Mus musculus: one gene and its partner. The protein of the gene in region 2 interacts with the protein of the main gene of each other region in a biochemical or structural test. Links are inferred from orthologs where the notes say so. Each region holds a gene or a part of one and is shown on either strand. Other genes may lie near its edges.

Region 1 (4,290 bases), on a different chromosome or scaffold from region 2:
AGGGCAGGGGCATTAGGAGATGCACATTCTATGTCTCACCTCTCATTGGATGCAAAGACTGCAGGGTGTCTACCCGAAACTACTCTTTCTTTCTTTCTTTCTTTCTTCCTTCCTTCCTTTCTTTCTTTCTTTCTTTCTTTCTTTCTTTCTTTCTTTCTTTCTTCCTTCCTTCCTTCTCTCTCTCTCTCTCTCTCTCTCTCTCTCTCTCTTTCTTTCTTTCTATCTTTCTTGTTTGTTTTTGCTTTTGTTCTTTTCAAGACAGGGTTTTTCTATGCAGCCCTAGCTGTCCTGGAACTCACTCTGTAGACTAGGTTGACCTCAAACTCAGAGATTCACTTGCCTCTATCTCCCGAGTGCTGGGATTAAAGGTGTGCGCCACCACTGCCCAGCTGAAACCACCCCTTCTCCTCTCTGCTTGGGCCAGGGTCAGAAGCCAAGCAAGTCCTCACTTGTCAAACATGCGGAAGAGATCCGACAGCTCCTCCTCAGACTTCCCTTTGCTGTCGTCCTTCATGCACCGAACCATCATGACAAGAAACTCATCGAAGTCCACTGTGCCACTGCCTGTGGGTAGGCAGCAGGGCCGGAGAGAGAACAGTTAGCATTCCAGCAATCCACGCCCCCCCCCCTCCTCCCCACACTATAGGGCTAGTGTGTTCCTTTGCCCACTCCTCTTGTTTGAGATAGAACCTTGCTCTGCAGTCCAAGATGGACTGGACCATAGAGAGCTATGTGACCCAATCAGACTGACTTCAAACTCACAGCAGATCTACTACCTCAGCCTTCTTGGAATCACAGTATGAGCTACTTGCCAAGTTTCTGGATGAGATGGTGAAGATATGGAGGGGAGGTAGCTCCTGGGCCAGTGAACCCAGGGTGCTACATACACGTGTGGAGACTGGAGTGGGTGAAGGGACTCACCATCCTCGTCTACTTCGTCAATCATCTCCTGCAGCTCCTCAGGTGTGGGGTTCTGGCCCAGCATCCTCATCACCTTGCCCAGCTCCTTGGTGCTGATGCAGCCATCCTCCGCGCCCAGGACAAAGATATCAAAGGCAGCCTTGAACTCTGGGTCCAACAGAGGGTGAGAAGATTGGATCAGCAGCCAGGAGGACACTAGGAATCCAGGTCCCTGGGGCCACCAGGAAATTGTCCACCTCCCTTCGAGAGTTCTTTGAGGTCACAGCAAGGAGAACCCTCAGATTATAGCCTCTAATCTGGGGTTCATTCCTGGAAAGGCGTCCCCCCTCTACGCCCCCCCAGCCCTGCTGTCCCCTCAATGGGAGACACTTACCATTCTTCTGCTCCTCTGTCAACTGTTCTACCTAGAGAGAAGAGGGGAACTCAGGACCTCAGGACCCAAGCTCAGGCCTTAGCAGACTTAGAGACTGACCCCATTCTACAGGTGGGAAGAATGATAACAGAAGGAGAATATATTCCCAGGTTACAAAGTCCTCCTTCCCTGCCCTAAGGTGACCCAGATGGTTTCTCAGAGGCTGGGCTAGGGCCAAGGTGACAGGCAGGCACCCCTCCCAGGACCAAGGTGTCCTGAGTGACAATAGTCATTGACCATTGCATGTCCTTTATGTCATCCTAATGAAACTTAAGCTGCATGGCCTGAGAGACAGCTGTCCCTCAGGTTGAGACAATAAAACGAATGTGGGGGCGAGCAAAGCCACCCACTGTAACCTGACCAGGGTGGCCACTGAGCTATTTTTAAAGGGGGACAAAGTTAAACCTGGTGATTGTTCTGGGGACTTTGGTATGCAGGGGGTGGGGTAGTGTTATCTGCCCCCCTGGCCTACTGGTGCTGCCTCAGGAGCCAAAATTAGTCCCCAGCCCCGCCAGGCCTTGTATGGGCACTGGGTGGAGGGCCACCCCCCTACTCCAGCTCCACAGACTCCTACAAGATAGCCAAGGATACCATAGGAACCAGCTGCAGCCCTTCCCTGCTCACAAGTGGGGCCATATTCCGGGGGTTGGGAGAGAATTTCCTGAGAACAGCTGTTTGCTAGGATTTTCTTGTCTCTGAAGCAGGTATATCAAAAGTCCCTCAGCGTCCCCAGGAAATCGAACAGTCTTAGGGTCACTGTTCTCTAACCCTGACTCTTATCACTCTCAACTCCTACCTAACCCCTGAGCCTGCCAGGGACTGAGGTTCCAACAAGCCATTCCTTCTTCCCTCCCTCTCCTCAGGCCTGTACCTTCAAAGCATCTTTCCCATCCCAGGACTCAAGTTCTCCAGCCCTCTCACAATTCCCTCCCACCTTCTAGAGCCTCCTCATCCAGCTCAGGGGCTAGAGGAGAGAGGCAGATCTGAGTATGTAAGAAGCAGATTGTGAGAAATGGAAGCTTGGGAGGGGGTGCGGGGCGCAGACCTGGAGACACACAGAGAGACAAAGACTCAGAGACATCGTGAGGAAGGAACAGAGATGGAAAGACCTTGTGAAAGACCAACAGATGTCTAAAGAATAAAAACACAAATACACTCAAGACAGTGACAGGTTAGAAACAGAGGGAGACACAGGATGCTGAAAGCTGAGACCATACCCCTAGCCACATTGACAAACCCCTGAATTGCTACCCTTTCTGCATCCCCCAAATGTCAGCTCAAGGGGCTGGGTTACAGGTGTGTGGGGACCCTTTTGAGTCCCCCATCACTTCCCTAGTGTACCCCTGTCCTCCATCCTTAGCTAAGGGAACCCCAATGGACCTACCCACCCTAACCCCTTAAAGATTCATCTCTCACCGCAGCTTTGTAGATGTCATCCATTCTGGCGACAGCTCACAGGACAGGCTACTGGGGTTGCCAGCCAGCCAGCCCTCTGCTTGGGCTTATATAGCCCTGCCTCCCTCCACCTCCTGCTACATTCCCAGCCCAGCCCACCACTGCCTGGAATATCCTCCACCCCCTCCCTGGTCCCTGTAATCTCAGGCTGGCCAAAGTCCCTGTATCATCTGCCTAGGGCCAGGAGCTATGAAGGACTGCAAGGACCAGGTCTCTTGCCATCTGTTCCCCAGACCCCACCCCACCCCCAGGGAAGTCTCAAGAAAAAAAAAAGAATGTATTGCTTTTATTTATGAGTGCATGTGGAAGTCAAAGGACAACTTGCAGGAGTCATCTATCTCTCTCTGCTACCTAGGTTCCCAGGAACCCAGGACTGAACTCAAGTTTTCAGGTTTGGGAGCAAGCACCTAAATGCAATACACACACACACACACACACACACACACACACACATCCTCAACAACCTCAGGAAAAAGTTTCCTGAATGAATGAAAATATGAGCACACAGGAAATGTGAAGTAAACAGTTCGGTCTTCTATGGAATCACAGTGACTTGCCTGAGGTCAAGCTGACCGGAGAATCCCTACCTTATATTACACCCCCTGAGAGATGGTAGCATGCCAACAGAGGCTGGCAGTGTAAGTCCTGCCAAGAAACACTTCCTATGCAAGGTTCAGAGTATAATATGACACTGGTAATGGAAGAAGTCACTGGCCCACAAAGAATAGGCTGGCCTGAAGCCCTTCAGCGGGATCTACCACGCCGCAACCTTCCATCTTTCAAGGACAACAATCAGTGTTCACTTCGGGTTTGAGTCAGCTGCATTCTGTGAGTCAACAAGTGTCCCTAAAGAACCCTATGTCTATCAGGATTCTCTCTTTTCCTCCTCCGGTTGGGTCATCTCTTCTCCAGCTAAGTCTTCCCTATGGTTGTTCCCTATGGATGTTTCTTCAGCCACGCTCTTGTGTCCAAGGCCTAGTCTGTCTCCTCCTCACCTTGAGCTCTTGCAGGATGTCATCTGGGAAACCAGATGGACAGCGCATATCTCTTCCATCCACCTGCACGTCTGCTGCATATAAGCTCTCCCTGAACACACCAGTGTGCCGCCTAGCACACTGCCAGGGGAAAGCCCGTGGGGTACTGAGCACTGCAGAATCACCACAATCAATTCTCCACCAGTACTTTTAACAACAAACCCCCCAAGTGTCGGAGAGTCCCTCTGGTCCTTGTTCCATCTCTAAGTCTAGTCTTATTCATTTTGCTCTTGCTACACAGGGAATGAACCCAACAGCCAGGCGAGACCCTATTAATGTCCCCTCTGGAAACTGAGGCCAAGCGAAGCAGAGTGACTTCGGAGAGTTCCGAAGGCCCATGGCCTCTGCCCTTCCCTGCTGTGAGCCCAGCGGACAATGACCACAACTGCCCGAGGGGACAGAACGCCGCACAGGTATACAGAAAGCAAATTGGGCAAGCCCGCAGGAGCTGCGCATGCGTGCCACTGG
Region 2 (3,569 bases):
CAGGATTTCGGAAGGCCCCTTTCTCCAAAGATTTGTCCTTTTTTTCAGGATGAATTTTTTTTGGAATTTAAAAAAAATGATTTATTTATTTATTGTGCATTGGTGTTTTGCCTGCATGTGTTTCTGTGTGAAGATGTCAGATCTTGGAGTTACAGATAGTTGTGAGCTGCCATGTGGGTACTGGGATTTGAACCCTGGTCCTCTGGAAGAGCTACCAGTACCCTCAACCGCTGAGCCATCTCTCCAGTCCCAAGTCTTTGCTTTTTTTGAACTGTTAGTAATTGCTTTAACGCCAGTGGCTGCAGAGAAAAGACCAGATGAAAATATGTCCATGTGTCTCCCACAGCAGTGGCTATTTTAATTTTACTATTTTTGGTTAATATTGAGTTTTCAAAATTTCCACTATTAACTTATATCACTTTTATACCACAAAACTATCTATCTATCTATCTATCTATCTATCTATCTATCTATCTATCTATCTATCTATCTATAGACAATAACTATGAGCTTGCTGCTGAGGCATGAGCCTGCAATCCCAATACTCAGGGGACAGAGGTTGGAGGGCTGTGAATTAAAAGCACTTATTAATTAAAACAGTTTCATACAATATACTTTGATCATATTTTTCCTCTTCCAACTCTTCTCAGATTCTTCTCAACTCCCTCCCCACCTAACTTTGTGTTCTTTCTCTCTTAAAAAAGAAACAAACAAACAAACAAAAACACCAAAAGCCCAAAACCAAAACCAACCAGTCAAACAAGAAAAACAACAAAAAACAAAAAACCGTGAAAATTAAAACAGTAGCAAGCAAGTCAGAAAATCAGGTTGGGTGTGGTAGTGCTCACCATTAATCCCAGTATCCTGGAAGCAGAAGTGGGTGGAACTCTGTGAGTTTGACACCAGCCTGGTCTACAGAGTGAGCCAGGACAGTACTACATAGTGAGACCCTGGAGAGATCAAGGCACGTGGGGTGGGGGAGAACAATAATACAAAAAAACAAAAAACAAAAAAAACCAAAAACCAAAAAACAAAAAAACAAAAAAAAAGTCAAACAAAACAGAGGAAACATGGAGACATGGAGTTTATTTTTTGTTGGCTGTCTGCTTGTGGGCATGGAACTCAATAAACATAGCGACACCATTGGAGAAAGCTGTTTGCCCCTTTCCCAGCGAATATCAGTTGTAAATAACTGTTTGGTTAGGGGTGGGGCTTTGTGTCCACTTCCCTTCTCTGTGCTGGGATTTTGCCTGGTTTGAATCAGTGTGGGTCTTGTATGTCCTATGTCTATGAATTCATATATGTAAAGATTATGACACACTCAATGGCAAGGCTTTCAGGCCAGCCTGGGCTACATAGTGATACTACCTTAAAAAAAAAAAGTTAGCATTTACAAAAAGCTAGAAAAAGAAACCAAGCATAGACCAGAAAGGCGAGCAAAGGCTTATGCTTTGAGTTGTTCCCTTGATGGTGACAGCTTTGAGCCCCATGCAGAGGCCGCTCCTGTTGGGATTACAGTGCAGGCAAAGCGAAGGACCATAGGGCTAAGCGTGCTCAGTGTGCACACAGGAAAAGGAGGCTGGCCCCGGTGGCCCTTCCCCCTCTTCTCCGCTCTCATGCTGTGGATCTACTCCTCAGGACTTGTGCCGAGAGCTCCATGCCAAGGTAGAGGTGGTGGATGAGGAGCGCTATGATATTGAAGCCAAATGCCTCCACAACACCAGAGAGGTAGGCCCTGGAGGTGGGGGATGGGACCGCCTGGGCGGGCACTTGTGAGGCTCTCCTGGGTCTACGGAGCCTGGGAGGCAGGCTCTCAGCATCCACCCCAACACCACAGGTCTGGAGATGGGCAGGAAGGATAGCCACACATGAAAAGAACAAACTTCCTCCCCACCTGCCACGTGAGCTCTTCAGAAGCTGCCGGCTTCCCTCACCCACACAAGCAATCAGATGTCTGTTAATGACATCTTACGTTTGTGAAGGGCTTTCAAGTGCAGTTGAATCCTTTGATCCTCCCTACACGCCTGCGGGTGACACGGGGGCTATTACCTGACCCTGACAAATGAGGACATGCAGACTCACAAAGGCTAAGCACTTGCTTGGGCTTGGGTCACAAAATGGGGGTCCCAGTATGCACACTGTGCTCTGTGCTCCAGTTCCCACTCCACGGGACTCAGCCCTTCATTGTGGAGTGTGTGGGCATTAGGACCAACCATGGGCTGCTTCTGAGCATTGGCCCAAGGTGAGCAGGCACTTCCGTACCCTACCCTGCTTTCGAGGGTGCTGTGTGATGCCATTAAGCTCCAGAGAACTCCCTTGCAGACCACACCCTGGGATTATCAGGGTGTAGGATTTAGGGCTCCTCTACCTGCTGTGTCAGTCAAGGCTCAGCTGCTGTGCAGGCCCTGGGCAGGGTTGAGTACTAAGAGCAAAGATGGAGGGAAGGAGAAAGCAGTTTACACCCCACACAAGGCTTCCAAATGGGAGTAAAGGTTTATTGGCTTATCATTTATTTGTGACTTGGTTATGGGGAAGAGGCAAGGTTAACTAGTGGGCGTAATCTGTAAAAGTTCATTTAGAACATTTAGCGTGTGTAGTGATTGCTTGGAAAAGGGTAGGAGATTCTGAGCACCCCAGATGGTCTAGCCTGGAGCCCGGAGGACTTGTAGGATGGTTCTAGCTGGAAGCCCAGTGGTTGGATCCTCAGGGTGAGAACTCTAGGTCAGAGCCTGGCTCCTTTGCTCCCCCAGATCAAGGACCTGAAGCTGAAGGTGCTGGACCTCCGTGGGAAGTTCAAGCGTCCTCCCCTGCGCCGGGTCCGTGTCTCAGCCGATGCCATGCTCCGAGCCCTACTGGGCTCTAAGCACAAGGTGTCCATGGATCTGCGGGCCAACCTCAAGTCTGTGAAGAAAGAAGACACAGAAAAGGTGAGGGCCCCTCTCCTCAGACCCGCCTACTGGCCTCTATCTGCCACTTCTTACATTGCCTGAGGCGCTCTAGTCAGTGTGTGAATCAGGATATTCTAGGATCCCCTAGGAGGCCAGTGTCAGAAGAGAGACTACTGGCTGCTTCCAGTCTGAGGGGACAATGGGATGAGAGAAAGGCTGACTGGGAAATTAAAACTTGCTTCCCATATCAGTTAAGGGGTAACCATTACCCCTGTCACTTCAGCTTCTCGTTGTGGCTATAGGAACATGAGTGCATAGAAATTGGAGAACCGAGTTCAATTAACTTGCCTAGCAAACAACTACTTCAAATTTGTTGGTCTCACAGAACATGTTTAGAGCTGACAGGCTGTGAGGAGCATGGTGAGAGAGCAATTTATCTGGCCCAGAGAGCTTAATAAAGACAAACAGGCCAAGCCAGTATGCTGACAAAATTGAAAACAAGTTAAATGAATCAGGAGAGGCTTCTTGGAGGAGGTGACCTTGAACCAACTGCAGGGTGTCCCACAGGAGGGTGTTGTGGATCCTGGAGGAGAGGTTGGCCTGTCATATACTGGGAACCAGTTTTGTGACCCTGTGACAGTTACCTAGACCCTCCCATCCACACAGCCTCATTCTGTGCTC

What was found.
Region 1: the proteins of Tnni1 (region 2) and Tnnc1 are reported together in a solved structure, tested with the Homo sapiens proteins (2 studies listed by BioGRID, with this or other methods). The link is inferred for Mus musculus from reciprocal best matches to the Homo sapiens genes TNNI1 and TNNC1.

The regions. Positions count from the first base shown.
Region 1 is NC_000080.6:31,206,838-31,211,127, reverse strand, and holds the start of Tnnc1 (troponin C, slow skeletal and cardiac muscles), read right to left. Parts: upstream 2,817-4,290; 5' UTR 2,774-2,816; coding exon 2,750-2,773; intron 1,326-2,749; coding exon 1,295-1,325; intron 1,069-1,294; coding exon 922-1,068; intron 565-921; coding exon 450-564; intron 1-449. UniProt on the Homo sapiens protein: Troponin is the central regulatory protein of striated muscle contraction. Tn consists of three components: Tn-I which is the inhibitor of actomyosin ATPase, Tn-T which contains the binding site for tropomyosin and Tn-C.
Region 2 is NC_000067.6:135,805,883-135,809,451, forward strand, and holds part of Tnni1 (troponin I, slow skeletal muscle), read left to right. Parts: intron 1-1,638; coding exon 1,639-1,728; intron 1,729-2,750; coding exon 2,751-2,927; intron 2,928-3,569. UniProt on the Homo sapiens protein: Troponin I is the inhibitory subunit of troponin, the thin filament regulatory complex which confers calcium-sensitivity to striated muscle actomyosin ATPase activity.